2 linked regions of the Arabidopsis thaliana genome follow. The protein of the gene in region 2 interacts with the protein of the main gene of each other region in a pairwise test. Each region holds a gene or a part of one and is shown on either strand. Other genes may lie near its edges.

Region 1 (4,683 bases), about 13 Mb from region 2:
GAAGTCCCTTCACAAATCTGATCCGCGTTGTAGTCGCTGCTACAAGAAAAAGGAAAGCTGTGATTTCATCTAGAGAAGAAGACTATCACCATGGGCTTGGAAGAGAAGGCAAGACATCTTCTGCAATGCCCTCCAAGAGCTTTAGGTGAAAAAACAAAAAAAACTTGCTTCATTCATCAAACTTAAAACAGAACTTAAAAGAGCTTTTACATGTGCAGGTTCTTTAACCGTGCAGCATTGAAAACCGAAGATGACTCAGTTAATAACAACTGGAGGCTATGTTCTGTTCAAGAAGTAGAAGATTTTAAAGCCGTTTTCCGAGTTCTCCCTCTGTTACTAGCCATCATCTTCGTTAGTACTCCCATGGTGACGCAAACAAGCTTGATTATATTACAAGCTCTAGTCACAGACCGCGGTCTCGGGCCTCACTTCAAAATCCCGGCCGGGTCCCTCCAAGTCATAGTAATCATCACTGCATGTATTGTTATCTTAATGAACAATTGCCTTGTCTATCCCATGTACCAGAAGCTAGCCCATAAGCCATTGACACCGCTTCAAAAAGTCGGTATAGGCCACGTTTTCATCATTTTAAGCATGGCGATATCCGCCATTGTGGAAGCAAAGAGGCTGAAAACAGTTACTAATGGCCATTCCATGTCAGTGCTATGGCTGGTTCCTCCCCTTGTGATAGTAGGAATAGGAGAAACGTTCCAATTTCCGGCGAATATTGAATTATTCTATAGAGAATTCCCCGAGTCTCTGAGTAGCACCGCGACTTCATTGCCTCAGTGGTGATTGGAATATCTTTCTACCTGAGCACAGCTCTGATCACTCTGATCCAGAAGACCACCAAGTGGTTACCAAATGATATTAACCATGGAAGAGTTGACAATGTTTACTGGCTTTTAGTCATTGTAGGAGTCTTGAACTATTTCCTTGTCTGCGCTTGGTTTTACAGATATAGAAACCTGAATGATGATGATGATCAGGAACAAGATCCAAAAGACGATACAACCTAAGACACAACGTGTTCTGTTCTTGTGGTTTTTGTTGTTTTGATCATCTTGAAAGACCCTTTTTTATGACAATAATCAGACAACAAAAACTCTTTCAACAACTACATAACCACTCTCACTATCTTGCTTAATTCTAACAGAGTTTGAAATGTGAGAAACGTGGTTTGGTTTTTTTTTTTGTTGGAGAAAAAGGAAATCATTTCTGTATTTCCTGATTCATAATTAATAATTTTAAGGTCTTATCATACAAAAGTGACTCAATGATTGGTCGAGAGTATATTAAATTTTAATAAAATTTATTTAAAGTTCTTGAATCTTTGTCTATTTATACTTTTCTTATGCTTGTGGAGTGGTTTACTGCTACTGAAGATAAGGCAAGATATGGGCGATTGCTTTTTAGTTGTTTATTACATTCACCAACCTGATATTGGCAAACGACACTAGGAGATGAACTGTCAGAATCTGATATGAAATTTTTGCCACCAAAAAAGATCACTACCAACATATAATAATTGATATGGATTTGCTTATATATATAGGTTACGGTTGTTATCTAAACTGCATTATAACACTCAAACACAAGTCAAAGTACCTCCTGCTTCCACTTGTTCTCTGCCATGGCTAATTCAGACTCTGGTGACAAAGAAGCGCATCGCTCTAGCAAGCATGGTGGCTGGATCACTTTACCGTTCATGCTCGGTTTGTGTTTTTGACTCTTTTGTTTATGTGAACTCAAAACATAAACAGATGTTGATGATTGTAAAGTTTTTATGTGGTGCAGTTACATTGTTAGGCATGTCGATAACTTATTTTGGATGGGTAATGAACTTGATCGTCTTCTTGATCGAGGAATTCAACATCAAGAGCATCGCAGCTGTTCAGATTTCAAATATTGTCAATGGAGTTGTCAACATGTTGCCTGTTGTCGCAGCCATCCTAGCCGATTCCTTTTTTGGGAACATTCCTGTCATCTCAGCCTCCGCTTTCATTTCTCTAACTGTAAGTTTTAACACTCACCAATTCTTTTATGTGTTATGAGTGTTTTAAAAACGGTATCGGCAGTTACTAGGCAACCGTTTTGACCGCCTAAAATTACACAGACCTAGTTTAAGGCGCTCAGACAATGCCTAAACAACTGTTTCGACCGCCTAAAATGTATATACGCCTAGTTTTAGTGCATTTTCTAATTTTCAAGTAGGTTTTATCTCTATATACATAGTTACAATCGTTCATATATTGTTTTGATGTACATTAAAGAAATGTTTTGTCTATACTTTGTTTACGATATTCTATTTTTATTTTTCTAATATGTATTTTATATAATGTTTTAAGTATAAGCTCATATTTCTAATGTTTTATGTAATAAATGTCTAAACTGGCTAAACTGCCTAAGGTTATCCGACTAAGCGTTTTAGGTGCTAGACACTAGGTCACCGCATGCCTAATGCTTTCTTAAACAACTTCTGATATAAAAGCTTACCTGTTTTGAAACATTTTTCAGGGAATATCGCTCTTGACTCTTATTGCATCTTTGGACTATTTGAGACCTAGACCGTGTGAAACGGGATCAATTTTATGCCAATCACCATCAAAACTACAACTTGGGATCTTGTATGCAGCCTTAGCTCTAGTGATCACTGGAACAGCTGGGACGCGGTTCATCTTGGCATCCGCAGGTGCAAACCAATATAAGAAACCTAAAGAACAAGGAAGGTTCTTCAACTGGTACTTTTTCACACTATATGGTGGAGCGATTACTGGCACGACAGCAATTGTATATGCACAGGACAATGCTAGCTGGAAGCTTGGATTCGGTCTCTGCGTCGCTGCTAACTTGATCAGTTTCATCATTTTCGTCGCTGGGAAGAGACTCTACGAGCATGACCAACCTTTGGGAAGTCCTTATACAAGTCTAGTTCGCGTTTTAGTCGCTGCTACAATGAAACGAAAGGCTGTGATTTCATACAAAGACGAAGACTATCATCACCGCGAGCTCGAAAAAGAGACCAAGACTTATGTTGCAATGCCCTCCAAGAGCTTCAGGTGAAAACAAAAAGCTTTCCTGATTCATGGAACTTAAAAAGAGAGCTAATAAAGAGGGATTTTTATTATGCAGGTTCTTGAACCGTGCAGCATTGAAGACAGAAGGAGACTCAAATAATAACATGTGGAGGCTATGCTCTGTTCAGGAAGTAGAAGATTTCAAAGCCGTTCTCCGACTTGTCCCTCTCTGGACATCTGTCATGTTCCTCAGCGCTCCCCTAGCGGTGCAAATGAGCATGACTGTCCTCCAAGCTATGGTCATGGACCGTAAACTTGGCCCACACTTCAAAGTCTCTGCTGGGTCTATGCAAGTCATAGCACTCGTCTCTGGATGCGTCTTTATCATACTTAACAACTGGACTACCTATCCCATGTATCAGAAGCTAATCCGCAAACCGCTGACACCGCTACAAAAAGTCGGGATCGGCCACGTTTTGACAATCTTAAGCATGGCGATATCAGCCGTTGTTGAAGCAAAGAGGCTGAAAACAGTTGAAAATAGCCATCTCATGTCAGTGCTATGGCTGGTTCCTGCTCTCGTGATTAATGGAATAGGTGAGGCCTTTCATTTTCCAGCAAATATTGCAATATTCTATGGAGAATTCCCTGAGTCTCTAAGGAACACAGCGACTTCATTGACCTCGGTGGTGATGGGAATCTCTTTCTATCTGAGCACAGCTCTTATCGATGTGATCCAGAGGACCACCAAGTGGTTACCAAATGACATAAACCACGGAAGGGTTGACAATGTTTACTTGGTATTAGTCATTATAGGAGTCTCTAATTTCGGCTACTTCCTTGTCTGCTCTTGGTTTTACAAATACAGAAACCTCAAGAATGATGATCATGAACAAGATCTTAAAGATGTTACAAACTAGGACACTAACGTGTTCTGTCCTCGTTTTCTCTATATTGTAGTTGTGTCTTCATGCAACTAACTTATGTGCTACATGCAAACTCACTGTTTGCCGTTTGTGTTTACTTTTACCAATAAATGTTATTTGTATCAAACTCATACCTCAAATTATTAGTATCCTAGCTCCAATGGACCGATTAGAGCTCATGAGCTGTTAGCTAGCTTTTTTAAGGATTCTTCACCTCCTTTATATTAACCAAAAAAAACATGCAATGTCAATTCCTACTTAAATTACATAATAAACTAAAGCTATAATTATAATCCAAACCGATATATAATCTCGTTTAATTACAAAATCTAAACCCTAATTCTTCTTTGTAAACCCAAACCGCCATTTAAACTCATCTAATCGTAAAAAAACTAAATCCTAATCGTAATTTCTAAACCTAAACCGACATTTAACCTCGTTTAATTGTAAAATCTAAATCTGTTTATAAACCTAAACCAATATTTAACCCGTTTAATCATAAAACTAAACCCTAATCGTACTTTCTAAACCCAAACCTTTTGAAATAAACTCAAACCGACATTTAACCTCGTTTAACCCTAGGGGTGAACCCAAGTATTTTTCATCATTAATCAACATAACTAAAAGGGCCAAGAGATAATTAGTATTGTACTTAATCTTAATCATCTAACATAGATATTCCACATTGGTTGTGTGAACAAAATCTAACAACATATATACACCAACATACGGCAAATGGT
Region 2 (3,261 bases):
CTAATTCAGACAAGATCTATTTTGAATTACATAAATTATGATTTTATTGCAAGGAGTTTTTTTAATATAATTAATTATTATTACTATTATTACAAGTGCATTTTTAATTTGTAGGACATTGTGAGACTTTAAGATCAGTTGTTCTTATTTCTCGATTCCTTTTCCATTTACATTCCATTTAAATCTGGTATTGCTTTTAGACGATTCGTTTTGGCCAAAGTTTTAACAACCGTAAGTATATTGGACCACCGAAACTTCAACATCGATTATAATTGATGGATTCTAAATGCTACAGATTGTTTGATTGTGATCGTATGGTTTCGTGGCCTTACAAAATTACATCGACTTATCCTAATTCCTCATATACATATCTCTCTTTCCGTAAAAATCGAAGCAAGAAAACGTGTCAATGTCAATAAACAAAAAAACAAATTACAGTAACCAAAAGAAAAGAGAGAGAAGAACATAATAAGAGAGGAAGAAGGGTTGACAAAAAAAAGGGCCAGAGATTGAGATCCTGCGAGAGAGATCATATAGATCTTTCCATTTCTGTACTTTTTTAGTTAGATATTACCACTGACTCACTTACACAGATCTACTCTATATACAGTATATATCATCATCACATGCTTTTCTACGTGGCATGTCCAAAATATGTCATATTTTGCCGTAAAATTACTCAGCAAATGTAATAATTAATTACATAAATATACAGCTAGCTTAGCGAGTTTGTGTACATGTTAAGAGTACTGATAATTCTAAGAATGAAGACAAAAAGAACATCAACAACGTATAGCAAAGTATAAACTAAATTTATAATCGTACCAAATCTATTTTTCGGTTGTAATTTAATAATTAGATTTTGTAAACCAATGTAGATCTTACATTAAGTTGAAAAACGCAAAGTGTTTAGGATGAGTAAGCAAAGCAAACTCATGTTACAAGTCTAATAATTGTTCTATGGCATGGCAAAGGCTTACATTTTTTTCTACATTATTAAACTTGGCGTGTAAAACGTTGTGGGTCCACCGTATATGTTGAAATCATAATGTCACATAAAAATTATACAGCTTCTCACATTGGACATTAAGTAATTATTAAAGTAGAGGATACAGAAACTGATGCAATCAATTGTTTACATAAAATATAATGATGCATGGACTAGTTTTAAATCTAATCACATGCCATGTTTTTAGGTTTGTAATAGGTACAAGACACACATTTAACCAAACTTTATGTTTGAGATCTAAGATAAGACATTGATCTAAAATTTGTATATATATGTGTGTACTTTTCTTTACTACCTATAGATGGTATTACTATTACTTTGATGGTTCGAGTTTTTTTATTAAGTAAAAGTTTCTATATAGACACACTTTAATGTTCTTGTTGAGACCATAACCCACACGTCTTTAGATAGGAGACCGATGGTACGAGAACACCATTTGCGTTTGTTTCATGAGTTATGGCCCTCCTTAATTCACTCGCACTTCCAAACTTTAGAGTTTCATTTGTCTTTTGTAAACTTTTTGGGAAATCTCCAGTCATTTTTTTCACTTTTTTTTATTATTCAACAAATATTACAGTACAAAACTTAATATAGCTAGTCATCTTACTAAGGTCATCCCAAAGGTTTTAAGCAATCACTAACAAAATTAGGCAACCCTTACAAATTGTGAATCACATGTGCTCTAGCTAGTTTTGTACATAAACACAAATACATACAAACTATACAAGTAACTTACCATCCCTAGTAAATAATATATTTTTTTCTAAATTCGGAAGTTACGTCCATTTTCCCTTCCCATTTTATATAGTTTTACCTTACTTACTCCATACTATATTTTATATTTTATTTTCGTTTTCCATGCCAAAAAGTAACTCTCATTTCTAAATGCGACATTCTAACTTTATGTATGTATATACGTGTATGTAAAGACACAAACACATATAACAAACCCTTCTCAACCTCTCACTTCTCCAAGAAGTTTTCTCTACATCCACAAAAGAAAAAAAGTTTCCCAAAAAACAAAAACATACACAAGTTTAGATATGGATCTTGAATTACTACAAGATTTGTCCAAATTCAATTTCCCAACACCCATCAAGATCCGATCCAAAACCTCAAAAACAAAGAAGGACGAAGGTGATGACGACGAAGATGACCTCCGCTGCAGCACACCCACATCCCAAGAACACAAGATTCCCGCCGTCGTAGACTCTCCACCTCCTCCGCCGAGAAAACCCCGGCCACCACCGTCAGCACCGTCGGCTACGGCGGCTCTGATGATCAGATCGTGCAAGAGGAAGCTTTTAGTGTCGACTTGTGAGATAATCATGAATCGGGAAGAGATTGACCGTTTCTTCTCCTCCGTCTACAATGAGACGTCGACTACGGCTAAACGGCGGAGAAGTTACCCTTATTGTTCTCGAAGATGAGGCTTAATTCAATATTTACATTTTTTTACAGTTTTACTGGAAATATTGTGAAATTAATTATCTGTTGGTGTTCGGTTTTAAATATTTTTAATTTAATTATGAATATGGATGGATAATTTTCTGCAACCGCGCATATTAATTTCGCATGGAGGGGTCGATGTTGTAAATTGAGTAATAAATGAAATTTAATTCCAATTGCCAAGTTTTCTATACAATAATGTGATATTTATGTCATTTATAAGAGACAAGATCGTTTTATCATCCAACTTCATGGAAAAAATAGTTTCAAAACATATATTGTCGACTTCTAAAGTTGAAGAACGCGTTTACCTACTATGACCGATATGATGTAAAATATCCGCAGCCAATATGAAGGATCAAAATATCTCCTGGTAAAAAAAAAAATTGTGTTATATATGACGCATGCATGTATATGAAATCTTTGAACAAACTTTTGTATATATGTCGCCTGATAAAAAGTTATTTATCAATATATTAAATTACAGTGATGTTAGCTAGTGATCAAGCATTGCTTGCTTCATGAGCAATGGGTGGTACATGTTCTTTTAAATATAAAATCATTGCATTTATGTGAGAATATGATGGCAATCAAATCAAAAGATAACTATTACTCGTATAGTCTCAAACAATATAATGTCATAGAGTTTATTTTTTAATATACAAGTCGATATTTGTACATTTAACGTTTATTATGTTACTGTATCTTAGATTCCAATTTCATTCATCTAGGTTGAACCGAAAACGCTTTGGTACCTCTCACAATATATATTTTTCTCAGTTAGATAACTGATGTACATAAGA

Evidence for each region.
Region 1: the proteins of LGO (region 2) and AT3G45700 interact in a protein complementation assay, tested with the Arabidopsis thaliana proteins (one large-scale study listed by BioGRID).

Annotation. Positions count from the first base shown.
Region 1 is NC_003074.8:16,777,132-16,781,814, forward strand, and holds AT3G45700 (Major facilitator superfamily protein), read left to right. Parts: upstream 1-1,581; 5' UTR 1,582-1,633; coding exon 1,634-1,715; intron 1,716-1,797; coding exon 1,798-2,015; intron 2,016-2,517; coding exon 2,518-3,059; intron 3,060-3,132; coding exon 3,133-3,937; 3' UTR 3,938-4,137; downstream 4,138-4,683. Other genes in the region: AT3G45690 (Major facilitator superfamily protein), read left to right, coding at 1-145, 219-672, 768-1,019. UniProt on the Arabidopsis thaliana protein: Transporter involved in a passive nitrate efflux.
Region 2 is NC_003074.8:3,280,754-3,284,014, reverse strand, and holds LGO (LOSS OF GIANT CELLS FROM ORGANS), read left to right. Parts: upstream 1-1,883; 5' UTR 1,884-1,964; coding exon of another isoform or gene 1,965-1,994; 5' UTR 1,995-2,036; coding exon of another isoform or gene 2,037-2,052; coding exon 2,053-2,439; 3' UTR 2,440-2,709; downstream 2,710-3,261. Other genes in the region: AT3G10527 (uncharacterized protein), read right to left, coding at 1,965-1,994, 2,037-2,339. UniProt on the Arabidopsis thaliana protein: Probable cyclin-dependent protein kinase (CDK) inhibitor that functions as a repressor of mitosis in the endoreduplication cell cycle. Cooperates with SIM and SMR2 to promote endoreplication during leaf development.